Linked DNA regions of Caenorhabditis elegans. The protein of the gene in region 1 purifies or fractionates together with the protein of each later gene. This does not show direct contact. Each region holds a gene or a part of one and is shown in the gene's direction. Other genes may lie near its edges.

Region 1 (10,466 bases):
CTTTAAAATTTTAAAACGAATTATCGCGTTACAATTTATGTTTGAAAAAATATCAGCTTCATAACGTTTGAAAACTATTTCAGATTGGCATTTTGGCAATTTTAAAATCACAAAAAAACTTCCAAATTTTTTTTTAACTCGATAAATGCTATATGATAAAAGGTGAGAAAACAAAAAATAAGACGTTTTCTGAGAATGCGGGAGCCAACTGAGATTCTTTGAGTCATGGGAGGAACATCAGGTGATTGACAACTTTATCGGCTCTTTTCTTCTGCCAAACCACTGCCACAACATGAGAATGCAGTAAACATGTGGGCATGTTTTCAGTGGCTCTCATAGCTTGACATTTTTCAGAAATTTCATAATTTGCAATTTTTCAACGTAGTTTTGACTGTCAAATTGTGTATTTTTATCTAATTTTTAAAATTAATTTTCAAAATATGTTTGAAAATGTCGTATTTCAATTAAGATACGAAAGTTCCTAGATAATTTTTGACATAAAATAACCTAATTTCAATAACATACACGCCCCCTTTCAACTCCATAACATGTTCGATATGGTGCAGGATCTCTTGATGAAGATGTTGTTGATCGCCTCTCAACACTTCCACTTCTGTATCGTAAACTGGAACTTTCTCTACTTGAATATGACATTTGTCTGAAACTTGGTTAGAGTCAAAACTTTGGAAAATTTACAAATTTTCGTAAAATTTCTGAGAAACTCAGAGTTTTCTTGCATGTTCGAAGTGCAAAAATGTCAAATGTCAAAATATGAATAAGAGATGAAAATCAAGCGCAAAGTCAGGTTTTCAAACATCAATCTTTTTGAACGTTATTTGTTTAATCAAACTGTATAAACTTCAAGAAACTTTCTAGAAAAAAGAATGAAATAACGGCAAACCGGATATTTGTGGCATTATTTTTGCTTGAGTTGGATTTCAAGCAAAAATCTTCAATCATTTTCTAGCACGTCAAGTAAAAAGTAAAGCTTTCAAGCTTTTGCACCTCCTGATACGAATAATGAAAACATCATTAATATTTTAAACCTGCAGAAAAAATGGTTTTCCTGGTCGACTCTCAAAACTATGACCGATGAAAACTAAGTAATATCCACTTTATGGTGGTAAATAAACATATTTCAGATTACGCTCAAAAATATTTTATGACATTTGACAATTTGAGGATTATTAAAGTAATTTTAGCATTTTCCCCACTATACCATCTTTAATAAAAGAAAACTCAGTTTTCAATGTGATAAAGTGATATAAGAAGAATTGAACTAAAGGTGAGGGAGTATAAGAAACGAAATGAAATTGTCTTCTTTATCTTCCTGTCTCCTCCAGAACACTTTCCCTATCTTTTCAATTCATTTTGTGGTGCTCAGTGAGCATTAGTGCGATGTACAATCTTCAGAGACACAGAGACAAGACACAGGAAGGGGTTACAACCGCAATGAGCAAAATGTTTCGGACATTACTTCAAGATTGAAAGACGACACCTGACACAACACGACCTCTTAATGATAATATTGTTCAAAAAAAAAACTATTGGCATTTCAAAATGTACGATTCGACGATGGAATATCTTGTTCACACACTTTTATATATACCAGCCGTTCGCACACGCAAAGCGCGTGCTCCGACTGGCGTACGCTAAATTGTTTTAATGAATTTTAAAGTGCTAATGTAGCATTTTTGTACAGTTATACATTCTCCTGGAGTTTTGCGGACTTTCAAGAAAATTCTACAACTTTCCAGGTTTTTCTTTAAAAAATTCCCAGAACTTTTTAGAAAATTCTAGAACTTTTCGGATTTCTTCAAATTTTAAGCGCTTCCAGAATTTAATAATATAATTTTTCTAGGTGCTACAAGCTTCCAGTTTAATCAAAAAAACTGACCTCCAGGCATATAAATGACCGCATTTTTTATTGGGAGATTTATTTAGTTTTCGTAATTTCAAAAATTAATATCTGACTTAAATTGAACTTTTTTGAAAATGTTTCTTCGGGGACTTGTTTCAAATTTTAAGCGCTTTCAAAATTTAATAACAAAATTTTTCTAGGTGCCAGAAGCTTCCAGTTTAATCAAAAAAACTGACCTCCAGGCATATAAATGACCGCATTTATTTATTGGGAGATTAACTAAGTTTTCATAATTTCAAAAATTAATATCTGACTTAAAATGAACTTTTTTGTCGAAGAATTTTTTCAAGAAATAATTACTTGAAGTTAATTCAATGTTTTACTGAAAACCCATGTTAAAAGTATTAAAACTTGCTATTGAAATTTTATCTAGAAAAAACTATTTTTTGAATTACCTCTGCTATGGGGGAGGCAATTGTGCGGTGGAGCGCACTTGCCGCCCATTTATTATTTTTTGGCAGCAAGGTTTTCTCCAAAATATTCTATTTTTTAATGTTTTCTTTTGTTTTTATTGAATATTTTGCTCTTTATATATGCAAAATTTTGATTTTACCAATTTTCATTCTTTGAGGTTCTTCAAATCTACAATGTGGCGTAGTTTACCGAGTTTGGTGTCTTCGGCTGTTCGGTTAGTTGATAAATCGAAGTTTGTTGAATTCCAGTTAATTTTTGCTTCTTTTAGATCACAAAATGCCGTCAACACACGATTTTCCAGTACAATGAAACAATTTTTCGATGATGAAGCGAATTTTGGAAAAGCAGAGCTCCGCCCGAAACATCGGCCGGGCAGATCGTGGACAGCAGAAGAACTGAGATTAAAAAGCAATTCAGATTTGCATAAGCTTTGGTAATTTAATGGCAATTCGGTTTTAAATTTATTAAAAATTTAAATTTAAGGTATGTGTGCTTGAAGGAGCGAAATATGCTGATAACGATGAAAAAAGCGCACACTTCACGTGCCCGGAACATGCCAAACCCAGAGAGACTTGATCGTGTTCATGAGGTATATTTTAAAAATTTAATAAATGCAAAATGATATATTTCAGACAATGGATCGTATAGAATCAGTAGTTCACGAGCGAAATGATGCGGTCTTCCGTTTGGAAACTGGAGAATCCGCGGCTCCACGCAAGAGAACAATCACTTCATTCGCTGGATTTACATATCAGTGAGTTCCTGATAAAATTAATTTTTTTAAAATAAAAATATGTTCCAGAAAACAAGCCACAGAACACTTTGCACCACCTCAACTCGGCCAGAAAGAATACGAAACTCCATATCTCGACGACGATGCCTACGTGATGCAGAAGCTTTGGCAGGAAAAAGAATTCATGAAAAATCGAGATAGATTGGATGATGAGAAGAGACGAGCGGCACGAACAGAAGACATGGACAGATTCAAGAGAGGAGCTCCACGAGTTTTCAATCGATAAAAAGTTGTTTCTAGATATTTTTTTTGTTTTCGAGTAGGCTTTTAAAAATGTTGTTTGCTTTGCTTCCTTCCTCAGTTTATTTAGTTTTTCAAAGAATATCCATTGTTCTTTTTTCTTGATATTTTGAAATATGCAACGGGTTTTGTCAGCCCATAGTTATCTGATATTACAAAAGGCTCCGTGTTGTTCTCATATTTTTCATTGAAAATCCCTTGATTTACATAGGAAAAAAAACCTAATTTTTAGCTGAAAAAAATTTAAAAAGTGGTAAAAAATTACCTGAAAGTTGTCTATTATCGAACTATCAAGCTATATTTTTCTGAAAACGGCCAGTTTTGAGCACTTTCTTGATTATTTCAGCTGGAAATAATTTTATTTTCGGAAAAAAACCAGTGATTTTCTATGCTTCTGATCATTCTCATAACTTTTTATTCTTAACGTAATTTTAAGCCCACAATGCACTAAATCGGCAGAAACATCTTTGAAAAATGCTCCAACAACACGGAATTAGTTTTCAAATGAATGCCGATAGACAGAACAAAGCAGCCACAACTTCCAATCGAATAGTCTCCGCTCCAGCTACAAATGAATTTGACGAGCGGCATCGTAAAGTTAGTATTTCTTCTCCTTTAAACAATTTTTAAGGAAAAAAAAATCATATTTCAGCAAGGGATTGATGCTGCAAGAGCTCTTGCTTCACAATATCGGAGCCGAATTACGGAAAATAGAGATGCAAATCAACGACAGGCTGCTCGAGAACTCAGCAGGTAGTTTTTTTTTTAAATAAAAGTCAATAAATTAAATATATTATTTTCCTCAGATATGTTCGAAGTGAGCTGAAAGACGAGCCAAATACTTTTAGTGATGCTTTCCTGAATGCAATCGATGGACGAACAGATATAGCCTCTCAGAGTGCAATTTATAATTGTATGAAGTCGAATTCAAATATCGATCAGAAACGAGCCGGTATCTATCTCATCGTGTGCTTAGCTGAAACTCATTCTGGAAATGTTATTCGATATGCGAATTATCTTCTGAAAATGTTAAATAATGGAAATGGATTAGATGAAGATACAGTCAAGATGGCTTCAAAAGCTCTCGCTTTTCTGATTGCGGTAAGTAATTTAATTTTTTTTAAACCAATTTTAAACATTTGCAGACTTGTAAATCATACGCGGCCGAGCTGGTTGATCGTTGTCTTGATCATTGCCACGAATGGCTTGGTCAAAATGTTCCACATAGTCAGCAACCCAAAAATCAACAGGAAATTGATCAAATTCGTCGACTCGCCGCTTCACACCTCTCTCGTGAGCTCGCACTGGCCACACCGACAGCATTCTTTCTTCGTGTAAACTTATTTTTCAAGTATATCTTCAACGCTGTCAGAGACAAGAATCCAGCTGTAAGAATCGCCGGAATTGATGCATTACACGTGGTTTTGACAATTGTTTCACAGCGTGAAGCAAAGAATAAAACTGAGTGGTTTAAGGTGATCAATTAAAATTTTGATCTTTCGTTAGAATGATTTTATATTCCAGAAATGTTTCGATGAAGCACTGGAAGGTCAACCAAACCCATCGCAAAAGGACGATTTGGATAGATGGCATGCCGTCGCCCTGATTCTCAATGAACTTCTTCGAATTTCTGATCAACGATTCGAACTCATCAGATGTGAATCCTCACAGTTTATTAAACAAAAGTTTTTGAAAGAAGACGAAGAAGAAGGTGTTGAATGGCTTGTCCTAACTAAGTAATCGATTCTTTTTCATCTATTTAAAAACTTGTATTTTTAAGGCAACAAACTATTGTGGAAAGTGTGACTGCTCGAAAGCTGGTTTTGGAACGATTTCCGAAGGTAAAAGCTGAAATTCTTCATTTCCCGAAATTTGTTATGTTTTTTTCCAGATACTCGATTGTGTTCGTCAGATAATACCTCTCGCAAACAAAACTTCATCCACGAAACAGCAAAGCTCGATTTACCTGAATACAGTTCTCATGCAGCTTCTACCAAGAATTTGTGCATTTCCACAATGTGATCGAACTTTTCAAACAATCTCATTCGACACTTCATTTACTATGTACGTAGAATGGAAGAGGACTGATGTTTATGGGCTTTTAGCTTTTATAGACTCGAAATGCGCTAAAAACGAATTTTGTAACGAGACTCAAAAAAAATTATGGTGATTCAAAATTTCCAATAATGTTCAATTTTTTCAGTCTTCAAAGAAATGCGGTCGCTGCTCCAGCAATCGGAATGATGATGCTCTCGAATCCAGATGTACATGCCACACATATCGAGAAAACAATCAGTTTTATCTCTGCTGCTATCAAGTAAATTTGAAATTAGTACACTTTTTTTAATAGTTAAATTTTGTAGAAAAACGACGAATTCTGATGTTCTCGATAATTATTTCACATTCCTGTTCCTATTTGTGGATGCTTATCACGAACAAGTGACGACACAAATCAAGGCAATAATTCCACAATTAATGGATATTACCCTGTCTCGATCGCTGGCAAACGTGCTAAAAATGATTATGATGAGAATTCCGAAACTGCGGCTGAATGTTCAAGATGGTGTTATGGCTTCTGTCTATCAAACACTCACTGGATCTCTAATTCCACCAAAATCCGAACCGATTGGAAGGCCTGCGAGTCCTAAAGCTATTTTGCAGGTTTGTTTCGTAGAGAAATTTTATAATTTTGCTCGAAGTAATTTTTTTGAATCTGAAAAGCACATAACATTTTTTAAATAAAGATCAGAATCCCATCAGATTTAAAAACGCTTACAATTTTATCTTTTTTGAAATAATTTTCCGTCAAAGTTTCGACATTTTTCTATATTCGAACCAAGGGCGTCGTTAAAAATTTGTATGATTTTTCGCTTTTTTCAGATATGTTCGAAAAACAAAAGACAGAGAAGCTATAAATTTATCGAAATTATCTTTTGAAAAATAGAGAAATGACCAGAAATTTTTCGAAATTTTTGATTTTTGTTTCCAGAAATCGTAAATTTAAAAGCCGAAAAATCGAAAAAAAAACCTAAACTTTGCGGGGTTTTCAAATATTTTCATAATCAGCAAAATAAGAAAATAGAAATGGCGACTTTTTAAAATTTAAATTTTTCGAACAGATTTCCTATGATATTTTATCATGTTAGCATTAACAATGGTTTTAAATATATTTCTCATTGGCGATATTTCTGTTGTGCAAAGAAGTAAATTCAAAAAATCTCAAATGAGAGTTTTGGGGTTGTATTTATGCAAAAGATTTATATTTCAGAAAGCAGAAACCGATCCAAAAGAGCTTCAACGAATCGTGCTGGCTGTCGATGTGCTCGGTGAATTCTATTTCTCAAGAGGTGCCTTGCAGAGAATCATGCAATACGTTGCAGATGTACGTTCGAAAGTTTTCTCGATTTTTCTGTAATTTTGTGGTTTTTCAGTACTACTTGACAGCGGACAATGTGGAAATCCGTTTGGCTGCTGTCTCTTCGTGTTGTGAAATGGTCGTACCATTTGTTGGAGTTTATAAAAAAGTTACAAGTGACAAGAGAAATAGTCTTCTTCAAACTATTTATGGTGTGCTGCGAGCTGTTTGTTCGGTTATTGTTAATGATCAAGGTAGGTATTTACTCGAAACTACGGTAACTGGTCGAAACGAGAATTAACCGCCTTTAAATAGCACTGTAATTTTAAAGTTTTATTTTTTTCGAAAATCGATAAACGAAAAAAATTGAATTTTCAATAATTCTTCTAGTCATCTCAATATTTTGGATTCATCATTTTTCGAAAAATCTATTTTTTTATTGTCTCGTCCGAACATCTCTCAATTTTTCTCGATTCTCAAAAAATGACAATTTCCCTATGATTTTCTGGAAAAAAGTCGGAAAATTTTAATGAAAATTCCGTAGCAACAAAAGTTTGAAATTACAGTACTCCTTAAAGGCGCATACCTTTTTCTATTAAAACAATTGTCGTGTCGAGACCGGGTACAGTACTAATGGCGCAAAATTGTGCTCCTGATCAAATATTCAAAAATGTTTTTAATTTATTTCAGATGTCCGTGTCAGAATGCAAGTAATCAGCTGTTTCGGACAAATGCCACGGCCATTCCTTGCTCATTTGGCTCAACCCGAAATGCTCGAAGTACAATTTATGGCTCTTCACGACGAAAAACTCGAAATGCAGCAAGCATGTGTGACGTTACTCGGACGACTCGCAGAGCTCAATCCGGCACTTGTTTTGCCACGTCTTCGATTGATGCTCCTAGAGACATTGAGTCAAATGCAACAAAGTGGTCAGGCAAGATTGGAGCAACATTCTGCGAAAATGATCGCGCAATTGGCGAAACAGAGTCCAAAGTTCATGAGACCATACGTTGGAAGTTTAATGATTGCTATGATTCCAAAATTGAGAAATGATCAAAAAGTTAGTTTTTTTTTGTATAAAAAAAATTTATTCCAAAATATTTTCCACAAAAAAGCTAAGAGGTCTATTTCGGAGCAGCTTCTGCGATTTTCCTGAGATCATCAGCTGACAAGTCACCCAGTTTTTCGTAGCCACCGTCCGCTCCGTCTGATCCATCATTAGGTTTGGCCTAAACAAAAAAATTTATAGAAAGATGAATTACGGTATCAAGTTAATTAAAATTTCCTACATTAGAAGCAATCTTTGATGGTTCACGAACTGTATGCATCATGGTATTGGCTCGAATTGCAGTGTGCATGCAGGAATCATCTGTATTTTTCGAGTTTTTTATCACAACTTCCTGTGTCTCCTGTGTTCGAGGACTCTTCTTATTCGCCTTCTTCTTCCGCTTATCCGATGCCTTCTTCTCCATTTTCAGTCCATCTTGTTTCTGTGCCTTCAGTGATCTCTGCTTGCTTTTCTTATCACTCAAATTCTTATTATTTTCTCCTAAAGTTGGAAGTTTTCCAGGCTTTGAAACATCCACAACAGCATCTTTTGATCCTCTTTTAGAATTTGTTTTCTCTTGACTAATCGTCGTTGAAGTGACTGTTGACACTTTTGATGGCTTCTTCTTACTCTGTGATGGTTTCTTTTTTAGACATCCAATTACAAAAAAGATGAGGAAAATAATTGGAAGGACAACAGTGATTGTACAACGGAATAATAATAGCATCTGAAAAAATAATATATTTTGAATTCAAAACTGTTGAAAACTCACTTCTTTTCCAAAATTGATCAAATGAAATTGTCACTCTGGATTATTAAAATATTTAAAAATCTAAATAATCGTCTTTGATAATTTCTGACAGCTTTTTTTCTACACGTCGATTAAATATTTTTTAAGATTTCTTTTAAATACATTTTTCAAAGCGTAAAAGAGACAGAAAATGTAATTTTTCTAAAAATTCACGATTTTTCGGTTTTCTTACGACTGCATAATAAGATTTTTGAAAAACTGAAAGGAAATTTTTTCTTTTTTTGTCTGAAAAATACCGAAAAAAATTATTTTGGCTAAAAAGAACTGATAGTTATACAAAATTTTACAAATGTGGTTCTTTTCGAACTTTTCAATAAAATTCACAAATTACAGTATGCCGAAGTGACTGCCCAAGTTCTGAATGCTGTCAGCGAAATCGCCGTGATTGGTGGAGCCGAAATAGTAAAAAATTTGAAGCCATTGTTCGAAAAGTTGACACATATGATAAATGATTCGAGCAGCTTGCATAAACGAGAGGTGAGAGTAAATTAGAAAATTTAGAAATTTAGAATTAATTTTTAATTTCAGGCGGCTCTCCGTGCAATTGGTGGAATATGTCGTTCAACTGCATATGTTGTGGATCCATATCGAGACTATCCAAGTCTACTTGATGATCTTCTTCGAATCCTGAAAACTGTCATGTCAAATACAATGAGACGAGAAGCTATCAAAACTCTCGGAATTCTTGGAGCAATCGATCCATATACTCATAAAGTATTCACTGGCTCAGTACAAAGCTCGACAGCTATAAGCACAGCCTTATCACTTCCAATCTCTGAAACTGATTCAAAAGATCCACGTCAAGACATTATTCATTGGTTTAACTATGAAAAATGTACATTAGAAGAGTTTTATCCAGCGATTACGATTGCAAATTTGATGTTAATGATGCAAGACGAAGATTCGCAGAGCTACGCGGAAATTGCTCAAGCTATAGTAACAATCTTCAGAAGTCTTGGTGATATGGCACCATTGTATACAGAACAAGTCATTCCAAGGCTAATAGAAGTTTGTCGGCGAGCAACTGAATCATCAAATCGAGCCAATTTGAGAGAGTTCTTTCTTCAACAATTGGCAAATTTCGTGGCAATTATAAGAAAGCACGCGGCACCGTATATGCCAGCTATTTTCACGATTATCGCGGTTCGTAACAAGACTGCGTGACAAATGTTTCGGCAAAGTACAAAACTGTCAATTTAAATATGACAATCTAGCTTTTTGATGAAAAACTTTTAAAAAAACTAATGTAGGAAAATTTTCGTTTAATCTGAAAATAATAATCTTTTGAAAATTCATATTTTCAACCAAAGTAAGTATTATTGAACAATAATTTTCCTACATTTCTATAATTATTTTTAACTGAAAAGTTGGATTATCATCAAGGGTGTCATCGAAAAATTTTAGATTTTTGTTTTTTTTTCATTTAAATTTTTTTTTCTACAGAAAAGAAGAAGACCAAAATTCAGCTATTCTCCGAATTATCGGAAAATCTAAAATTTTTAAGATTTTTCGATTTTGATTTTAAAAAAATTGAAAACGACTCCTTTGATTATCATATTGACAGTTTTGTACGTTTGCGAAAAATATAAATTTAGAAAAATATATTTTATTTCCTTTTTCTTCCAGGATGCTTGGAAAGAGGATATATCCGTCAAAATGGTGGTCATTGAAGTTCTCACTGATATGGGAACTGCCATTGGAAACGATTTCAGTAAATACACAGGCGAACTAATACCGTATCTGTTGACTGTACTACAAACTGATAAGACCAAGGAACGAGTTCTCACTGTGAAGGTAATATTTTATTATTCGATTAGTTTTAAAATATTTATTTGTTTCCAGGTAATGGAATCAATTCAAAAACTGACTCATTGTATAGTTCA
Region 2 (10,507 bases), on another chromosome or scaffold:
CCATAGTTTTGTTCCAACTATGCAAGAGTACCGGCAGAGCAGTAGTAACTCCACTTTGTTCAAACTGCGACTTTGTTCGGTTTTTTCTTTTGGAGGATAAATGAATAGAAGTATTTTCTAACAATCAAAATGTTGAACTATAGTTTTTTATAAAACACTTATTCACTTCTGGAATGCTTTTGTGTGTTCCATAAGAACAGGAACATAAAAAGTTAGTTCCGGGTTCATTGTGATCTATGGTTTCATTTTTTCACCGTCTTCTTTTTTTAAAAATCAAATTGGTTACGTGCCAAGTACCATATATAATTAATCAAAATTTATTGGTTTTGTTCACAGAAAACCGATTATGTTCTTTGTATCAAATAATAGATATGTCTACGGTAGTTGTTCCCATAAAATTGATAAGATATGAGAATAAAACCCCCAAAAAGACATTTCATTTTTTTACAAGTTGTATAAAAGACCGCTCGGGAGAGAAGCAGTGACATTTGTGTTGAATATTTTCTAGTTCTTCATGCTTGTGTGAAAAACAAAATTAATCAGGAATGAGCGAGGAACATATTGCAGTAACTCGTTTCCGAGAGTACCTTCGTGTTAATACAGAGCAACCAAATCCGAATTATGGTAAGAATATACATTAGAACAGTCAACATTGTATAAAATTTTAGCTGCCTGCCGTGATTTTTTATTTAAATATGCTGACGAACTTGGAATCGCAAGAAGATCAATTGAGGTAGGAAAGTTTTTCAAAAATTTTTTTATGAAGTTTGTCCTTTTGAAAGTGGAACCAATATACTTTTTTTAAAATTTTTACAATCTTGATTAAAATGCTAGATTCTCATCCTTAAATTTTCAGACAGCTCCAGGAGTTTTCCTTGTAATAATGACGATTCCTGGATCTCAACCAGAATTACCTTCAATTATGTTATATTCTCATACTGATGTAGTTCCAACATTCCGTGAGCATTGGACTCATGATCCATATTCTGCATTCAAAGATGAAGATGGAAACATTTTTGCTCGTGGAGCACAAGATATGAAATGTGTTGGAGTACAGCAAATGGAAGCTTTAAGAAACTTATTTGCTCAGGGAATCAGGCAATGGAAGAGGACAATTCATTTGGTTTGGGGTCCCGATGAAGAAATATTTGGAATTAATGGAATGAAAGGATTTGCGAAAACCGATGAGTTCAAGAAGCTGAACCTTGGATTTTCATTAGATGAAGGGATGCCATCAGATGATGATGTCTACAAAGTTTTCTACGCAGAAAGAGTTGCGTGGTGGGTGAAAGTAACATTCCCTGGAAACCCTGGTCATGGATCACAGTTTATGGAGAATACTGCAATGGAGAAACTCGTAAGTTACACTCCTTCTGCAAATATTAAAACACTAAAACTTGTCTAGGAGCGGTTCCTAGCCAGTGCCAGAAAATTTCGCAACGAACAAAAAGTTGTATTGGAGAGTAATCCAAATTTAACACTGGGAGATGTTACGACTTTGAACGTGAATATTGTAAATGGTGGAGTTCAGTTCAATGTGATTCCTGAAAAGTTTGAAGCTTGTAAGTAATGTTTTCATTCAGCCTATAGATGTAAAATATAATTTTAAGATGTTGATATGAGATTGACACCTCATGAAGATTTTAATAAAATACGTGAAATGTTGGATCAATGGGCAAAGAATGCCGGAGAAGGTGTCACCTATGAATTTTCCCAAGTAAGGTTCTGAAACAAAAAATCAATCAAGGCTCTATTTCAGTATTCTGACCAAAAACCAATATCTGCACATACTCGAGATAATTCATTCTGGGCTGCATTTGAGGACAGTTTGAATCAAGAGTTAGTTAATTTTTTAACGGACATAATTTGAATAATAATATTTCAGAAACTGCAAATTTGAAAAAGGGATAATGGTTGCATCAACAGATTCAAGATTTGTGAGATATGTAAGTGATAAAATTGGCTAGTTTCAAATTGACATTCAGTTGATCTACTATTTCAGGAAGGAGTAAATTCCATTAACTTTTCCCCAATGATCAACACACCGTTTCTTCCACACGATCACAATGAATATTTAAATGAGAAAGTATTTTTGAGAGGTCTCGAGATTTATCAAACAATCATCAACAACTTGGGCAATGTCTAATAATTCAATTTTTAAAGTATTTTTTAAATGTTCTGTATAAATAAAAATGTTTGTATATCAATTCTACAAACTAGTAAAATAATTTTCTGCTTGTTGCAACGGTTCTCAACATATTCAGATTGCAGAATACCCATTTTCAAAAACTGCATAATGTGTTTGAAAGAAAAAAATTAACATTTAAATTTTTGCGAGAAAAATGTAATTTAGGCATATGATATCATATTTTAGAAAAATATAACCTACAAATGCTAATTACAAGTGTGAAAATTGATGTTGTTTGACTATCTGGCTAATGTCAAGTGATAAATTGTTCAGAAATTACTATAAAACCGATATGTCTTCGGTATTTTCTTTTAAACTCGTAGGTTTTTTCCTCAAACCTCTTTTAACAGCTTGAAAAGTCTCTTTTTTTTTTTAAATCAGGACGCCCCCATATTCAGTCACAAGCCAATTTTACTAGATTATAGATAATAAAATTTTTGAATCGAGGTGAGACCAGCTGTGTGCATTTAATAGGTAAAATTATCAATAATCATCAGATTTGTTAAATAGAATACTTTTATTTAACCAGGTTTCTATAGCGATATAAAACTTTTCCCATGGGCATTCAGATTTATACCCATTATTTTTCATATGATATTATTATGAACTAACATATTCTCATGTGAAAATTCCAGTTGACAAAACTTCTAAGAATTAGAGCAATTTCAAAATTTAATAATTTGAAATTTTTTAACAAGTCCTGATATCACTATCTTTTCTAAAACTTTTTGATTATTTATACATTTGCAGTCTGAACTCATCTCAATTACAGACATCTTCCATTATATTTTTGTTTTTTCTTATTACGTTTTTCCTTTCATTGGGACGGGACCACCATGACTATTTGGTTCATGAAAATTGGTATTCCTATCGCATTGTTAAATTATGTGCTTTTCTTTCGAATAAAAACAAATGGGATGATGTATATATTCCAGGAGTCAATATCTTGAAAGGAAGTGACAAAAGCACTAGAAGCTTCATTTTACATTCTTTTTCATTTATAAATGATCTCGTGACAATTTCTCATTTGTCACATTTGATATATTTTGAGTTGCTATTTGTTCATGTGCAATGAACGATGAAAACATTTGTGATATTTCTAGAAACTTGGCGACTTTTACTATTTTGTTACGGTTTTTGTCACTTTTCTTATTTATTTACACTTGGCTCAAGGATGTTTTTGATTGCGGATTATTGAGTTTATTGAAAAACCTCACAAAATCTTGTTTTTTTTTTCAAAGTGGAATTTCCAAAACGGTCGAGTTTTGCTCCATTATCACTTTTGGAAACAATTGAAGTGTACCATTTATTAATAAAACCTTCAAATGGGAGTTCATTTCTTACTATTAACATATTATTTAGAAACAGAGAACGAATACAGTATTCAACGAGCTATGTTACATTTGATAGAATTATGTTACACCTGCATTATCTAGTTAACATTTTACTGTTAAATCTGATTATATGATCAAGTTAACAGCAGAAATTCATGTTTAGCCGACATTAGATATGTTTTATTACCGTCGAAACTCCGTCAATGTAGCTTAACAAGAAAGCCATTCAAAAATGTCTCTTTACAAAATTTTGTAAAATTGGTAAATGTTTCAATTTCTTGCTTGTAGAGAAATTGAGAGCGTTTTTGATAGAATAATAAAAGCACACAATATATTTCCTATTAGTTCCTTACTGCTTTACAGCTCATATCTTATATATCTTTGGAATTATAAAAAATGTTCAACTATGAAATTACAAAATAAACATTTGACACATATTTTTATTGTCTTAAGGAAAAAATACGGTCATTCGGACAAACAAATGGGATATATAAAATGGGATAATGGGATCTTCTTTTTTTTTGACATATTGGAACTTCATTCTTGTATATCTTTATTTTAATTTCCCATTACCACTTCTCTGTTTTTCAACATAACATATGCATTTTCTTTCGAAATCTTTCTAGAATTTCAGATGCTGTTCTCATCGAAAATCTTGCTTCCAACGGTTTTCCTTCTGCTCTGTGCAACAACAGTGGCAGTGGATCCACTTGATTTCCTATTCAGCTCAAACATGGCTCGTTACCCGAGATATCGTCCGATTTCTTCATCCGCTGCATCTATCACACCGGATCTTGGAAAGAGGTTTTGATTTGAGTTCGCATTATTTCATTAGTTTTTAATGTATTGTATTTTCATTGTTAGCACATGAACTTGATTTTATTATAAAAACTGTTTAACTGGTAAAATATGTGTATTCAATATTATTAATGATGAGTTCAACTAGAAGTTGAAAACATTAAACTTTTTTGGGAATGTCTCCTTTAATTCTAAATTTGCTAGTTACAATAACTATTTAAATTCCAGAGCTCCACCTGGTTGTGTTTGCACAGAATTTCTTGGCTGCCATGGACCTGGATGTATGCGTCGAATGTATCCAAAGGCTTGAATCGTTAACTACTCCATTCATAATTGTTTCCATCTTTAATTACCAACCAAGTTTGAGAACATTTTCAAAATACAGTGACAACAGAACATCATTGAATAAAATACATTGTTAATGAATTTACTTTTGTTCAGAGAAAGATGGAATTTCGGCTCGAATTTCGAGATTAATTTTTTTTTGATATTCACAGCATGATTTACCTTTAACACCTTTAAATATACAATTAAAGTTAAGATAATACGAATTCTAGAAAGTAAGTTAAATTTAGGTGCAGTCAAATGTAATTTTTCACTGGTTTCGAGACAAAATATATGACAGTTGAAAATAAATATGCATGAGTCATCCCACAAAGTCAATTGACTCGAATAAATAAATATTTTTTTAAATTAAGATATTCCGAAATTTGCATTGTTTCATATCTGCTCTAGTATATACGCAGCACTGAATCACAGCCAATATAGAAAATAGTTTCCATTTTTTAATTTTGTTTTAATTATATTGTCGAAAAATTGTTTTAATACTTATTTGGATTAATTAAAATTTCGGTATAATGATGAAAACGTTGCGAAACCCGTAAATAAGGTGAAACTCTCATTTGAGTTTCCTCCAAAATGAGACAAAAAGTGCAACGGAGCGCACTTGCACGAATCACGTCTTCTTTAAATTCATTGCCAACGTGAGTTTCAATTTGGTTTTTGCACTTTTTGCCGACAAGAAAAATGCAATTTTGCACGAAATATTTTTTCTTAAACTCGGTTTCCAAAGAAAATTAAATTTATTGATTTTTTTATTTGTCTTGCTCACTCCTTCGTGAAGATCACATGATCGCACTATAACATGGCAAACAATTTTTGTTTCAGACACAAAATGGAAGAGGATAGGAGTATAACACCGTTTTCCTCGTTTGCAGAACGTTTGACAGTCAATTTGTGGCATGCTCAGGTGAGAAATTTAATTAAATAATGCAATTTTTTCAAGAAAAAACAAAAAAATATATTTGTTTCAGAGAAATGTAGAAAGAGTCACATTATATTTACAAGAACCCCGACATGTCGAAGATATCGCAGGAAGTATGGAAGATGAGTGGGATTGTATTGAAGAGTGGTTTGTTTTATTAGAGCATCATTTTAAAATTAAAATAATATTGTTGTGACGAAAGACGAAAAAAAAAACAGCAAATTAATGGAAAAACTCACAAAAAGTAAATAATATGAAATATTTTTACTGTTTTGCACTATACTATTTGGAAAATCAAAACGATTTCAGAAAACAAAGGGCATTCGGCAAGAAATTAATTATAAGTTAAAATAAATAATTTTCAGCGTAAATCGCCGAAAAGGCAGTGATCGCCTCCGAACTGCATCTGTCGCCATCATCATGTGTCTACATTTGGGAGTCGATCCACCAGAAGCTCCGTCTCGAAAAGATGCTCCTTCTCGTCTTTTATCATGGGTTGATCCATATAAATGTGGTGCACACAAAGCAGCCATAGAGATCGGATTGAGCACTCAAAGGGCTTATGAAAAGTGGCAACCAAAATCAAAGTAAGAGATGAATCGGATATTTCCAATGTTTCGGACTAAAATACGCTACTCTAGAATTCGGTTAAAAATTACAAAAATGAATAAAATTAACAAAAATGCAATCTTAAAGCCAAAAGGAGTTACAGAACTCGATATAAAATTTGTACGGATCCGCCTATCGATGACGTGAGAAAAGTTGCAACAAATCTTCGAAGAATCAGTGGAAATGATCGAGTTCTGTTTCACTACAACGGACACGGTGTACCGAAACCAACAGATAATGGAGAAATTTGGGTATTTAATAAAAGCTTCACCCAATATATTCCATTGTCAATATTCGATCTACAAGGATGGCTTGATTATCCCACAATTTATATCTGGGAAACTCATTCAGCTGAGACAATTCTTCATAACTATCGACGATTTGGAGAAGATCAGAAAATGTTTGTTTGATACCAAAAGTTAAGAACATACTGAATTATGGATTTTTAGATCCTGGCAAAGTAGGTTTGATCGATGGCAAGAGGAACAGAGGAATCTACCACCAATCTCATCAAAAATGACAGATGCTGATCAAGCAGAAGCATTAGGTTTTCCAGAGAAATATCCCAGATATAATGTAAGAATTGAATCTTTATAAGCAAATTTCCGACCAGCAATTCTCCAAAATGAGTCAGCGTAAAAAAAATTAAAGAAAAAATACTTTATTTCAGTTGGACTGATTGAAAACGTGCTCAAAAATTATTTGAAAGTTGGAATTTCCGGGAAAATTTCGATAATTAGTCGGTATTTTCGGCAATTCTCAGCTTTCAGAAAAGTTTTTAGCGTTTTTGAATAGTTTGAATAGTTTTTCAATTAAAGTGAAAGCTATTTTCCGATAAATCAAATTTTTTGCTATTTTTATCATTAAATTTTATAAAAAATGCTGGTCGATAATTTCCGCGTACCCCTGGTTCCGCACAAGAATTCACGTACCTAATTATTTTTCAGGATTGTATCCATCTAGCAGCATGCAGTGCCGGTCAATGGCTTCCAATGTCGAATCCTCATCTGCCAGCTGATCTATTCACTTCCTGTCTAACCACGCCTATCCGAACATCACTCGCATTTCATTTGAGTCATTCGGAGCATCGTGATGAGTATCCGGAAAACATTTTGGACATGATTCCTGGAAATCTTGCTGAACGAAGAACTGTGCTCGGAGAGCTCAACTGGATATTCACTGCCATCACTGACACAATTGCATTCACTTCAATAGATCGTGACTCGTTCCAAAAACTTTTCCGTCAGGATCTACTTTTGGCAACTCTGTTCAGAAGTTTCTTGCTTGCACAAAGAGTTATGTCAAAGTTCAATGTTTGTAAGTAATAAAATATCTGAAAGTTTAATGAAATCTAAACAAATTTTGAATTTCAGTACCAGTTTCGCAGCCTCCTCTGAAAGACACATCAATGCATGATTTATGGAGATGCTGGGATCAAACAATGGATATGGTTCTAGACTATTGTAGAGAATTGATTTATGTCAAAGAATGCGAAAGAGCACTGTTTTGTGGAAGAGATGTTATTAATAGAAGCAATGTGTTCCCGTTTTTAGGTATATTTTAATGCATTTGACTATTCACAAACTGATATTTTAGTGCTCATTGACTTCGAACATGTGCTGACTTACAATGAGACCCACCAGTACAACACATTCTTCACAGAACAACTACAAGCTTTTGAACTTTGGCTAGACTACGGTGTTGACGAAGGAACACCTCCACTCCAACTTCCGATGGTTCTTCAAGTACTTCTGAGTCAGGCACATCGTGTCAGAGCTCTACGATTACTTGCACGATTCCTTGATTTTGGTAGATGGGCTATCGGATATTCACTTGCCGTTGGAATCTTTCCATATGTTCTGAAGCTACTTCAAAGCAATATTAGTGATTTGAAAATCTCTTTAGCGTTTATTTGGGCAAAAATTCTGGCAGTAGATCCATCGTGTCAAATGGAATTATTCAATGAGTGTATCGATGAATCAGCAACACAACAACAATCACCAGCACAATCACAACAACCATCAGTTGCATTGAAACCATCATCCATGTTTGCAAATCATCCACCACCTGCACAATTAACAATGGATAAACGTGCACTTCAGATTAATACTCAAACTGGCGGAAGATTTCAAACTAATCAGAATCAGGCATTGGATATGCAATTACAATATGCTCAACAACAAGCTCATCAGAGGCAAATGGATCCATCAGGAGGACAACATTCACCAAATGCTCAGCCTAGACAACCACAACCACAGCAACCACAACAACTACAACAGCAACCATCACAGCAACAACAACAACAATCTAGACAACCGCAAGGAATTATGGTAAACTCACAATTTTTATTAGAACACAATTGGAGCTTTCTTTGAAAAAAACTAAATTAAAATTTCAGAAACCAACGAATGCACAGCCACAAGAAAAGAAGACAATGCTTCGTTTTCAATATTTCCTTCAACTTCTCGGCGATCCTGAAATCAAACCGAAACAGAAAACTGTTGCTGCATTCGTACTTGCTCAGCTAACATCCAATAATTTCAAACTGGCACAGAAAGAGCTCACCAATAAGGGATACATGGGAATTTGTACGGAATTGATGGTCGATGATACTGCGAGAAGCGTCAAATTGCTGAAACTGTGGATTCTGATTGGATTGGGTCGTCTGTGGTCAGATTATGATGTAGCCAGATGGCAGGGTATTCGATTAATGGCTCATGATAAAATGATTTTGGAATTGAGTGATGAATCAGCAGAAGTTCGTGCAGCTGCTGTATTTGCACTTGGAAGCTTATTGAGGAACTCTTCGAGATCAAATGAGCATGCATCAGCAGTTGAAGAAAATCTAGCAGGAGAACTATGTTCCCAGTGTGTGTTTGATAGTTCTGTTCTTGTGAGAGAAGAACTGATTGTTGCTCTTCAATGGTTTGTGTTTGATTTCGAGAAACGATTCGTGAAATTCTTACTGGAACTATCGAATCAAATTAAGTTCAAACTTCCACGAAAACGAAATTCTTCTGAAAATCTCAGTGAACAAGGATTGGATATTGCTGCAGAAATGCCATCAAATCATCGACGACCTCGTGCTCCACCAGTCAACGAATTCATGCAACCTTCAGTTATTCGAAAGAAAATGTCGACAAGTGTGTTCAGTACAGCTGTTGAAGAAACTGTGCATGAAGACGGAATAGGAAATGTTTACCACATTGCACATGAAGCTGGAAATCGTGTTGAACAAGAATCTGAAGATATTGAGTATAGGTAAGAAAGATAGAAATTGATTTATTGTAAAAAGTGAAATTTACAGAGAACGAGCAAAAGTACAGATCAAGCACTTGGAAGCGAAAACATTCAATGAAGCCGTTGCTAAAACTTGGTTGTCACTTTTAATATTGTCATTGGATCCTATTGAGAGGGTAGATTTTGAAAAAAAAGATTTTGAAAAAAAAAAGAATTTCTTAGAATGGTAAATATTTTAATTCCCACTTATTACTCATACGCAAATTATTGCGATTTCAAAAAAGACATCCGCCTTTAAAGAGTACTGTAATTTCAAACTCTGGTTTCTGTGGAGTTTTTATAGTTTTTCTCACAATTTATTAAATTTTTTGTGCGTTCATTGTAAAATTTAAGTTTTTTGAAAATAAATAAATATAGCTTTATAAAGCTTTATCGAAAAACAACAAAAATTTAGCAGAGACGAAACTTTGAAATTACTGTATTCTTTAAAGGCGCATACCTTTTTGCGTTAAACAAAAATTTGTCGTGACGAGACCGAATACAGTATTATCGTCACCTAATTCGCAAAATGTTTCGTCTGTGTAATACAACCAATACATCTCGTCAGGTTGCCCGAATGGCTCAAAAAATAGTGCATCGCGTCGAAGCAGGAATGCCCGAAATGCAAGCCAACATTGACAATACAATGGCTCATCTCAGTCGAAAAATGATTGCTCGTAAAAATTCGAAGGCGACTGTCGAAATGCCACGTAAACCAGTTGGACCGTCAGAAGAAGTTAGCACACTTTCAGAACGAATAAAACGAAATTTAGAAGTTGAAAAAGGTAGGTGAAAAATGAACGGAACTTTTGATATTCTATTAAAAGTTGTCGAAATGATTCCAGAGTCTGGAGTCTCTGCCGATGGAATTGACTTCACAAAATTAAATATGCAAAAAGCGAAGGAACAAAGAAAAGGAGGAAAAGGAGGACAAATCAAGAAGTTACAGGATGAATCAAAAGTCAAATTTCAAGTTGGAAGCCCTGGTGATGTAAATCAACAACATAGTTAGTGTATATTCGATAAAACAAATAG
Region 3 (10,641 bases), on another chromosome or scaffold:
CGGGAACAGATTCTTCGGGATATTGTTTCCGAATGTCTCGTCGGAGAATTCAACGACAGTATTGCGATCAGATGGTAGTGGATCAATGACTCCTTCGATTTCTCCGAATTGTCCCTGTCCTCCGGTTTGTTTTTTGTGACGGAAGTGGAATCTGCAATTTGAAATTTCATTTATATATATATTTTTTTTAAATGTTTTTTTTCACTCACTTATAAGGGCTACCCAAGCACTCTCTGTATGCAACTGTAGGTTTTCCCAGCTCCACAGGACAATTATATTCACTCTTCATACGCTGAGCATAAATTTCCAAATGAAGCTCTCCCATTCCAGAAACAATCGTTTCCTTCGCTTCTTGATTATATTCTCGTCGGAATGTTGGATCTTCCTTTGTGAATCGCGTCAGCGCCTTAATAAAATTGTCGGCATCTTTTCGGTTTACTGGTTTGATGGCCATCGAGATAACTGGCTCCGGGATGTGCATTGATTCCTGGAAATTTTTAATATTATTAAGGCAAAAAGCATGCACTGCAACTTTTTTCGAACGAGGGACGAGGCAAAAAGGTTTCTAGGCCATGGCCGAGTCCCCGACAAATTTCAGCGGCCATTTATTTTGCTTTGTTTTCTGCGTGTTTTCTTTCGTTTTTCACCGATTTTTTCCGTTTTTTCATATCAAAACTAATAAATAAATATTTTTTGCAGATGCTAAAACAATTTCCAAGTGAAAAAATTGTGAATTCAGTCGGCAAGTAGCAGTGAAAGTGGGCAATGTAATATGATGGATTACGGCTATACAAAACCCAAACTTTTTCTGAAACATGATACATATGCTGCTTAAATGCTGAAGCTACCTGATTTTCATAACGAGACAGCTAAAAAAGTTTTGAGATTTTCAAAATTCAACATTTTGTGCCAAAATCTCGACTTTTTCACAAAAAAAGTTGAATTTTGAAAATCTCAAAACTTTTTCAGCGGTCTCGTTATGAAAATCAGGTACTTTTAGCATCTAAACAGCATATGTATCACGTTTGGGAAAAAGTTTGGGTTTTTTATTCCCGTAATCCATCATATTACATTGACCACTTTTACCGCTACTTGCCGACTGAATTCACAATTTTTTCACTTGGAAATTGTTTTAGCATCTGCAAAAAATATTTATTTATTAGTTTTGATAAGAAAAAACGGAAAAAATCGGTGAAAAACGAAATAAAACACGCAGAAAACAAAGCAAGATAAATGGCCGCTGAAATTTGTCGGGGACTCGGCCATGGCCAAGAAACCTTTTTGCCTCGTCCCTCGTTCGAAAAAAGTTGCAGTGAAGCATCAAAACCTACACAATGCGGAGCAAGATTCTGATCCGTCGAAAAAGTCTCTCCAGAATGGCAGTCAAGTCCAAAAGTCGCACAAATATCTCCAGCATAAGCAGTAGTGATCTCTTCCATATCAGCAGCATGCATCCGAACCAATCTCTGCACACGTACTTTTCTACCGTCTCTCGATGCATAAACAGTGTCTCCTTTGCTTAATTGTCCCTGGTAGACTCGGAAATAGGTGAGTTGGCCGTACTTTCCTGCTTCCAGCTTGAAGGCAAGCCCGACGAATGGCTTATCATTGTTTCGTTTTGGCGAGAGAATGATTCCTTTTTCATCTCCGGTGGTTTCCGTTTTTACAGTGGCTCTGTTAACGACTTCAGATGGATCTGGAAGGTATTTGACGACGGAATTGATCATTGTTTGAACTCCTTTGTTCTTTAAAGCGGATCCGGAGAGGACTGGGACGAATGCACGCTGGAACAAAATATTGATTTTATTAATTTTTTGTTCAAGTTTATTGTTATGCACGCTCTTGCTACGCTTCGCTATTCTGCATCCGCGGAGTTTTGTCTTTCCACTGAAAATGGCAGAATTATCAAATTTTTAGCTTCAAAATTGTTTTTTGTTTCTGCATTTTGCGAACAAAACCTATTGTTAAACAGTGAAAATCGAATTTAAAATGACTAAAATTAAGCGTTTTCGTCCACTGGAAGAAATCAACGGGATTTTTCCTATTTTCTAAATATTTCGCTATAAAAAATCGGTTTTAATACATTTTTGACTTAACATTAGGGTCAAAAATTGTTAAAAACCGATTTTTAATAGAAAAATATTTAGAAAATAAGAAAAATCTCGTTGATTTCTTCAAAGTCAAACCATATTACAGAAAAAATTCGAAAAAAATCTGAAAAATTCCAGGGAAAAAAATGGAATTTTTAGATTTTTTTTAGAATTTTTCTGAATTTTTTAAAAGATTTTTTTTAATTTTTCTGAATTTTTTTAATATTTTTTCTGAATTTATTCTGAAATTTTTAGATTTTTTGTCAAAAAATAATCTAACAATTTCAGAATAAATTCAAAAAAAATCTTAACAATTCTGAAAATTAAAAAAAAACGATAGAAAATTTCCAGAGAAAATTTTTAAAAAATCTAAAAATTTCAGAATAAATTTTTAAAAATCTGAAAAATTCCAGGAAAAAAAAATGGAATTTTTAGATTTTTTTGAACTTTTCTGAATTTTTTAAAAGATTTTTTTGAATTTTTTTATATTTTTCAGAATTTATTCTGAAATTTTTAGATTTTTTTCAAAAAAAAAAATCTAACAATATCAGAATAAATACAAAAAAAATCTTAACAATTCTGAAAATTAAAAAAAAACGATAGAAAATTTCCAGAGAAAATTTGAAAAATTCTAGAAAAAAGCTGGTGATTTTTGAAATTTTTAGTGGATAAAAAATGTTTTTTCTTTGGTTTTGTGCATTTTTATTCCCGCATTTTTTGTAGATCAAACCGTAATGGGACATATTAGCACCACGAGTAAATCTGAATAATCTGATAGCAAGCGCGCTTTAATAATTATTCAACCTTGACAACAGTTCTTCTAATAGCTTCATGAATCTGTTGAACATTTGGCGTCTGATCGTTCAAGAACATTTCTCCAAGAGTCTCATCAACATTGGCAATATGCTCAATGAGCTCCTGACGTCTATCTTCTGCTTCCACCCTCAAATCCTTTGGAATCTCGTCCTTTCTCACAATAAGTCCACCTTCACCCTCATAATACAACGCGTGTCCTTCTACCAAATCGACGATTCCATTGAAATTTGAGTCTTTCCCAATTGGTAAATGAATGAGCGCCGCGTTATGGTTCAATTTATTCCGGAGGCCATCTAGAGCTTTCAGAGGAGTCGCTCCATTCCGATCCATTTTATTCACGAAACAGATGAACGGAACATTGTAGCGAGCCAGTTGACGATTAACAGTGAACGTTTGCGACTGGACACCTCCAACTCCGCACAGAACAAGTACGGCTCCATCGAGAACACGAAGAGCCCGCTCGACTTCAACTGTGAAATCCACGTGGCCTGGTGTATCAATAATATTAATATTAGTTCCGTGCCAATCCACATAGGTAGCCGCCGACTGAATAGTGATCCCCCGCTGTCGTTCGAGATCCATAAAATCCATTGTGGCTCCGACGTCGTCTTTTCCGCGAACTTCGTGCATCGAGTCGATTCTTCCGGCATAATACAAGATTCTTTCTGTGACAGTCGTCTTTCCCGAATCAATATGAGCAGAAATACCTGGAAATTTGTGTTTTAAATCAAGATTTTGATCAAAAATTAGGATTAAACGCCAAACCAATATTTCTGATTCGTTCAATTGGCCGGACTCCTGGTACGACGACGGACGACGGCGCTTCGTTGGATGCGAATCGTCGGAGGACGTTGTTTAGCTGAAAAATTCATTTAAAAAAAACTATTAAAATAATTTAAAAATAAATAAATTACCTGCCGACGGCTTTGCGCCACTGCAGAGAACCTCCCGAGAGGACTCATTGTGTATTACCTGAAGTTTAGATGTTAAATTTTCAAAGATTTTCACTTAAATAATTTTTAAATTTTTAAAATAAAAATAATATTGGAAAAGTGCATTTAAAACGTTTAATTTTATTAATTAACAAAAAATGATGCCATAAAATCGTTATCCGAGAGGAGTACGCGACGCGTGGCCTAGCATTTCGGGGCAGTCGCTCTTCCAAAAAAACATGTTTTTCTCACTCGACTTTCAGATATTTCTTATATATTTTTTAAAGAACTCTCTCGTTGTTTTCCGTTCGTTTTTTCAATTTTTAGTAAAGAAAAGAACAGAATCATCAAGTTTTAATATTGATTTATTTCGAGTTGCTTGAGAAATGCAGAGTTTTCCAAGAATTTCATGTTTTTGTTTATTGGAAATTTGAAAAACGCTTTGTAACCAGCAATGTGGTATTGCATCATTAAATAATGTTGAAATAACGGGTTTTAACTGAAAGAAATAATCTTTTAAATACTCTTTTCGACGGAAATATATTATTTCTATTATTTCCTACGCAGCTAGCTACAGTAACCCGGTGGCCGAGCGAAAGAGCATATTTAACCACTTTTCTGCTCTCTCTAATTCCACTATTCTTATCAATTGCAGTACTTTTTCCCCGTGTCCTGTCTCGTTTCCCCCGCTATTTTCATGAAAAATTTCAATTTTCAGGCGATGGACACTCGTCGAAAAGTGTATCACAGAGGCGAAAACAATACACAGAGGATACAGGAAATCCGGGAGAGCATCAGAGTCAAAACTCGAGCTAGTTAGTTTTTTTTTCAGCTTGAATTATGATGAGCATTTTAATATTAAAATTTTCCAGAAAAAGTAAGCGAAACCAGTGAAAAACGACGAGAAAGATTCCGAGCCCGTGAAGATGTGCAGAAACTGATCCGAGGCGCCGATTCGTACACAAAAGCAACTTACGAAGAGAAATGTGAATTTTTGAATGGAATTTCCAGGACGATTTTGGAAACCACAGTGGAATCGCTGACGGATAACGAGTTTTTTGAGGATATTTGTCAGTTGTAAGTTGTGAAAACTAATCTGAGATTTAACATATAATAAAAATTCCCCATTTTTCAGAGTGTTAAAATTCCTACCCGACGATCACCCGTGTATCCGTGCAATGTGCTTCCATATGGTTCGAAAATGTACGATAAACGAGCGGAATCTAGTTGTAATCCTTACAACTCACGTGGATATTTTTATCGTTCGCGCAATTGATTTACAAATGGAAAATCAAACGGAACGATTGGAAGCTTTCAAGTTAATTATTTGGATGCTTAAAATCTACGAGAAATCCAATCTCAAGAAGCTGATAGACTCCTCGGCGGCGCAGAAAAACGGAAAGTATGCTAAATTTAACTTCAATTTTCTGGAAAAAAATGATCGAAAATTCACAAAATTTGGTAAAATTTGGAATTTAGCCGGCTTGACAAGCGGCGGGAAACTAAATTTTTTGAAATCACCAAAGAGATATTTTAAATAAATTTTTTATCAAATCTGGTCGTTGCAGAATAAATCTGAAAAGTTGCAGAACATTTGTACGTTAAAATCTGATTTTATAATGGTGTTTGTGATTTTTTTTTGTAAAAACTCAGAATTTTCGGTGGAAAACTTTAAAAAATCTGAAAATCTCCAGAAGTAATTTTTTAAAAGTTTAAAAATTTTAGAATAAATGTTAAAAAAATTTAAAAATTTCAGTATAAATTTAAACAACTCTAAAAATTTCAGAATAAGTGTTAAAAATAAACTCTAAAAATTTTAGAATAAATTCAAAAAAAATCTAAAAATTTCGGAATAAATTCAAAATAATCTTTTTAAAAAACTCTTGAAAAACCTGAAAAATTTCAGAATAAATTCAAAAAACTCTGAAAATTTCAAAATGAATTTTAAAAAAGCTTGAAAAACTTGAAAAATTCCAGAAAAATTCCAAAAAAAAACTTGAAAATCTGAAAAAAAATGATACAAAATTTTCTGTAAAAATCTGAAAAATTCTAGAAAAAGCTGTAGATTTTGGGAAAATCTAAAGTTAAAAATTTTTTTTTTCAATTTTGCACTGAATATTTAAAAATAATCGGTTTTCTTTTTCGGTTGGCACATCGAAATGTACCTAAATCTTTTGACGCGCAAAATATCTCTTAGCGAAAACTACAGTAATTCTTGAAATGACTACTGTAACGCTTGTGTCGATTTACGGGAGAAAATCGCCCGTAAATCGACACAGACGCTACAGTAGTCATTTCAAGAATTACTGTAGTTTTTCGCTACGAGATATTTTGCGCGTCAAATATTCTGTGCAATACGCATTCTTTTTTTTTCAGAAAATATGCATTCCCCAAGTCCATCATGCAACCCATCATCTCCATCGCATTGTCAGCATTTGAAGGTCAACAGACTACGGGAAAAGACAAGTAAGCCTGGATTGGATTCGATTTCCCGTTGAAAAAAATTAATAAATTTTCCAATTTTTAGATTAACCCTCCCGTGCGTCGGCCTTTTCCTGGAGTTCAGCTTAACCGAACCGCTATTAGTCCTAGAAATGGCCGGAACAGATTGGCTTGTAAAAGCATTAACTGGAGTTTCTTGTATGAGCCGACGAATTGTGCTCCTTGCATCACATGTTCTGATCTCGTGGCTTGATTCTCCGACGATTCGGATCAAAGCGCATTTGGATTTGGTGATGGAGCAGATCTTCGCACCTCTGGTGGAATTCGGATTGTTCCAGAAAAGAGGAAGTATGCTTACGAATGATAATGCGTAAGCTCTAGCATTCCTATATATGGGGTTAATCATGTGATGTAGAAAAATGCGAAAAAATGCAAAAAATTCAAAATAAATGTCGAAAAATTTCGAAAAATGTCAAAAAATGCAAAAAATGCGGAAAAATCTAAAAATCTCAGAATAAATTCGAAAAAATCTAAAAATTTCAGAATAAATTTAAAAAAATGGTTAAAAAAATATTCTAAATTTTTAAAATGATTTTTTCAAAAAATTAAAAGACCGAATTAAATTTGAATTCCCGCCGCGCAAAAAACTGACGTCATTTTTGACATTTTTGTGCAAAAAATCTAAAAATTTCAGAAAAATTCAAAAAAATCTTTAAAAAAATTAAAAATTTAAATTTTTTGAATTTTTCTCGCGGCCCTTTTTATTTTTTGAAAAAAAAATCATTGAAAATTTAGAAATTTTTTATACATTTTTAAAAAGTTAGTTTTTGCATTTTTCGACATTTTTCGAAATTTTTTTTGACATTTTTCTACATCACACGACTAACCCCGTAATAGTTTTCTAACCAGTTTCAAAGTTTAAGAAACGAAGCCTTCCACATGAACGACTTTTTGGAGAATTTCAAGTGTTCCTTCCTCCGAATCATTCGATCATGGCCGGGGCTCTTCGCATGTGCTGCAGTTGGCCCCAACTCAAATATTCGTCCATCTTCACCGTTCCGGCTCCTAGACTACCTAGGCCTAGGTACGGTGGCCAATGATAATCTTGTGAGGATTCGTGATACGATTGTGGATCTTTGCTGTGAATTTGTGGATGTTCCATATGCCAATAAGACATTTGAGTCTTGGGAAGAAGCTCTCTCATTTTATAGTGAGTAAGGAGGATAAACTCGAAATGACCTGAAGAATTTTCGAAATTTTTTTCAGAAAATGCAGAAAACGTTTTGGAAAAAGTTCAGAAATTTTTTTTTATTCAGAAAAGTTTTCAAAAAATTTTTCAGAAATTACTGAAAAGTATTCAAAAAAAAGCTAGAAAAAAATCATTAAATTTTTAAATTCAAAAATTTCAGAAATTTTTTATTTTTTAATTCAGAAAATGCAGAAAACTTTAAAAAAAATTTTTCAGAAAATTCAGAAAGTATATTTTCTGCTAAATAACCTGTCGTTATCTAAAAACACCGTTTTAAAATTTTTTAAACAATTTTTTTTTGAAAAATGACACTCAACTATCTTGTAAATATGCTCAAAATCGTTAAATTGTTCAAAAAAAGCGTTTAAAAACAAAAAAATCAATTTTTCGTGATTTTGGCGAAAAAAAAAATGTATTCAAGTATTCATAGGCTTCTTGAAAAACGGAAATGAAATTATTTTCAGAAACAATGCACCTACCGGACAAATTCAAGAGCAACCTGAAAAACGACTTTGTAATTGCTCAAAATGATGCTCGCTTGAAAAATGATACGGAACGACGGAAGCCAACAATCGATCTTCTTGCAGCGTTCCGAGTTCTTTCCCAATTCGTTTTGATCAATGCTCAGCTTCCACTCTCGCTGGCCAGGCTGATCCTTGCGATGCCCGACTCATCAAGTGGACTCAAGGCAACACTTTTGATGGCTGATATGTTGAGACAAGCTCCATCTCATGTACCTATGGGGTATCGAGCTCCGGTTCTTTCGATGCCAACTCTGGTGCAATCGGCCTGTGAATCGCTGAGCCAAAGTCATGCGGTGGCGGCTATAAATGGAACTTTTGATATTAATACTACAGAGCAATACACTTTCCTACATGCTACGTTAGTATTTAAAATACACTTTTTTGTGCTTTATTAGACTTAAAATTGTCTGAAAACACCCAATTTCATGATGAAATTTCTTGAAAACGTCTCAAAAAAAAATGTAGAAAAATGCATGCGTTTTTGAAACATTTTTCTACACACATGAATAAGGGGAAAATGTATAAAAATACATTTTTGCATGTTTCATCATCACATGAATAACCTCATTAGACTCGAAATTGTCTGAAAATATCGAATTTCTTAATGAAAATTTTCTTTAAAAAATGTTATAGCGACCGGCTCAAAAATGACCCAATATTAATTAAAATTTTGGAATTTGAGCGGCTGGAAACTAACTTTTTTTTTGAAATCACCGTCTAATTTTGGGTATATAAGTTGATTATCTTTGGTTTTCAACTCGATTTATGTAGATTAAAGTCCGTGGACGAAAAAAATACCTAAATCGAGTTGAAAACCCAAGATAATTAACTTTTATACCAAAAATTAGACGGTGATTTCAAAAAAAAAGTTAGTTTCCAGTCGCTCAAATTCCAAATTTTAACTAATTTTTGGTCATTTTTTGAGCCGTCATAACTTTTTTTTTTTGAGAAGTTTCAATATGAAACTCGGTGTTTTCAGATAATTTTGAGTCTAATGGGGTTATTCAATAGATGACGAAAAATGCAAAAATGTATTTTTATACATTTTCCCTCTATTCATTTGTGTAGAAAAATGTTTAAAAAACGCATGCATTTTTCGACATTTTTTTGGCATTTTTTCTAAAAATGTCAAAAAATTTCGAAAAATGCAAAAAATGGCGAAAAATACAAAAAAAATTCGAAAAATGCATGCGTTTTTTTTTCACATTTTTGAATAGGGGCAAAAATTAAAAAAAATACTTTTTGCATTTTCCTAGATTAGGTGAATAGTCCCATAATAAAGCGATAAAACAACACCACCTTTAAAAATAAAACCAATTTTTTTTTTCAGGAACGCCGAGCTTGTCCTAAATCGCTTCGACAAATTAAATCAATCGTGGATCCGATCCGCGTCCACCTCATCCACCGTTCTCAAAGAATCGGATCTAATGCTCTTCTCACCGCATATGTCCGAACCCATACCACTAGCATCTACAATGAAAAAATCAAAAAGTGATTCTTCATTTCGATCGGGGGGCTCATTTTTTAAGAGAAACACCTCGCCTGATGTCTACGAAGAAGAGTCTCCAGGTGAGTTCAGCGAGACTGTGCTCCGTGGAAGATACGATAAGAATGCGTTGATGTTGATGGATGATGCTGACGATTATGATTACGCAGCTCCGAACATCAGAGACACGCTTGACGATGAGGAGGAGAATGCGAAGAAGTTTTTCGTCGATTCAACCGGAGCATTTGACTGGAACTATGTGGAGTATTATGTTGAGAATATCGAGAAGGATGGCTACGAGAAGCTTCTCAAAGAATTCACATCGAACACTATTCAAGTTCATATTTCAAATGTAATAGTTTCAGAAATTTGAAGAAAAAAGAAAAAAAAAAGTACATTGTTTTGTTACAGATGTTCCAATACATCTCACCATCCGAACAGGAGAAGCACAAAAGATGCATAGATCGGCAACAAGTGATTGTGACGAAAAGCCTAATCAAGCTTCTGCTCCGAGTGTTCCAGAAAGAAGCCCATATCAGTGATGCCTATCAGCCAATCTTTCTGAAATATGTTGAAAGCTTTAAAGCTCTTTTGGAAAAGGTACAGTTGATTATCTGAAAAGTATGAACCAACAAATGATTATATTTTTTATTTTTTTATGTTTTCTAAGGCAGAATATTTCACAGTTTTTGATCATTTTTGCAAACTCTTTTTGTATTTAACATTCAAAATAACCAATATATTTCTTATTTTCAACGTTTCCAGTAAAAATATACGTATTCGTCACGGGGTGTCAGAAAGTCTCATTGTGGTTTGATCTACAAAAAATGCGGGAATTTTTTCCCAGAAAATTTATGACGTAAGCACACTGTTAACCATGCGAAATCAGTTGAGATGTCTACGTCTCACCTCCCGCATTTTTCGTAGATCAAAGCAAAAAGGGACCGTCTGACTCCACGTGATTCGTATGTAGTTGAATTCTACAGGAAACGAGAGAAACGATGAATACATCGAATTTTACCTGAAACATCATGAATAAGCTCAAAATCGGTCATTTTAAAATTGAAATGCAAAATGAATCAGCAAAAAAGAACTAAAAACA

What was found.
Region 2: the proteins of let-363 (region 1) and daf-15 purify together in Caenorhabditis elegans (affinity purification with western blotting; 2 studies listed by BioGRID, with this or other methods). This does not show direct contact.
Region 3: the proteins of let-363 (region 1) and rict-1 purify together in Caenorhabditis elegans (affinity purification with western blotting; 2 studies listed by BioGRID, with this or other methods). This does not show direct contact.

What each region holds. Positions count from the first base shown.
Region 1 is NC_003279.8:5,241,939-5,252,404, forward strand, and holds the start of let-363 (Target of rapamycin homolog), read left to right. Parts: upstream 1-3,804; 5' UTR 3,805-3,842; coding exon 3,843-3,965; intron 3,966-4,020; coding exon 4,021-4,121; intron 4,122-4,174; coding exon 4,175-4,469; intron 4,470-4,513; coding exon 4,514-4,843; intron 4,844-4,892; coding exon 4,893-5,104; intron 5,105-5,148; coding exon 5,149-5,209; intron 5,210-5,259; coding exon 5,260-5,432; intron 5,433-5,571; coding exon 5,572-5,685; intron 5,686-5,731; coding exon 5,732-6,029; intron 6,030-6,636; coding exon 6,637-6,750; intron 6,751-6,799; coding exon 6,800-6,977; intron 6,978-7,413; coding exon 7,414-7,784; intron 7,785-7,795; exon of another isoform or gene 7,796-7,848; coding exon of another isoform or gene 7,849-7,953; intron 7,954-8,013; coding exon of another isoform or gene 8,014-8,499; intron 8,500-8,544; exon of another isoform or gene 8,545-8,599; intron 8,600-8,916; coding exon 8,917-9,060; intron 9,061-9,111; coding exon 9,112-9,726; intron 9,727-10,209; coding exon 10,210-10,377; intron 10,378-10,425; coding exon 10,426-10,466. Other genes in the region: mrpl-47 (Large ribosomal subunit protein uL29m), read left to right, coding at 2,455-2,549, 2,604-2,768, 2,819-2,924, 2,968-3,089, 3,138-3,354; B0261.5 (uncharacterized protein), read right to left, coding at 7,849-7,953, 8,014-8,499. UniProt on the Caenorhabditis elegans protein: Serine/threonine-protein kinase that regulates the mRNA translation machinery, probably by modulating the activity of translation factors such as eIF-4G and eIF-2. It may have some protein kinase activity instead of lipid kinase activity.
Region 2 is NC_003282.8:9,380,970-9,391,476, forward strand, and holds the start of daf-15 (Raptor N-terminal CASPase-like domain-containing protein), read left to right. Parts: upstream 1-5,238; coding exon 5,239-5,303; intron 5,304-5,480; exon of another isoform or gene 5,481-5,487; coding exon 5,488-5,569; intron 5,570-5,633; coding exon 5,634-5,731; intron 5,732-5,949; coding exon 5,950-6,171; intron 6,172-6,287; coding exon of another isoform or gene 6,288-6,296; coding exon 6,297-6,593; intron 6,594-6,642; coding exon 6,643-6,769; intron 6,770-7,140; coding exon 7,141-7,510; intron 7,511-7,566; coding exon 7,567-7,746; intron 7,747-7,789; coding exon 7,790-8,523; intron 8,524-8,591; coding exon 8,592-9,454; intron 9,455-9,500; coding exon 9,501-9,609; intron 9,610-10,040; coding exon 10,041-10,257; intron 10,258-10,299; coding exon of another isoform or gene 10,300-10,317; coding exon 10,318-10,479; intron 10,480-10,507. Other genes in the region: C10C5.5 (N-acyl-aliphatic-L-amino acid amidohydrolase), read left to right, coding at 546-624, 669-733, 857-1,357, 1,406-1,562, 1,611-1,717, 1,760-1,839, 1,886-1,946, 2,003-2,146; nssp-45 (uncharacterized protein), read left to right, coding at 4,157-4,326, 4,549-4,630.
Region 3 is NC_003280.10:13,110,720-13,121,360, reverse strand, and holds the start of rict-1 (RICTOR_N domain-containing protein), read left to right. Parts: upstream 1-4,554; 5' UTR 4,555-4,559; coding exon 4,560-4,653; intron 4,654-4,710; coding exon 4,711-4,915; intron 4,916-4,973; coding exon 4,974-5,240; intron 5,241-6,214; coding exon 6,215-6,304; intron 6,305-6,365; coding exon 6,366-6,650; intron 6,651-7,197; coding exon 7,198-7,490; intron 7,491-7,993; coding exon 7,994-8,411; intron 8,412-9,383; coding exon 9,384-9,891; intron 9,892-9,950; coding exon 9,951-10,139; intron 10,140-10,641. Other genes in the region: gfm-1 (Elongation factor G, mitochondrial), read right to left, coding at 1-151, 210-487, 1,332-1,784, 2,895-3,613, 3,672-3,765, 3,821-3,868.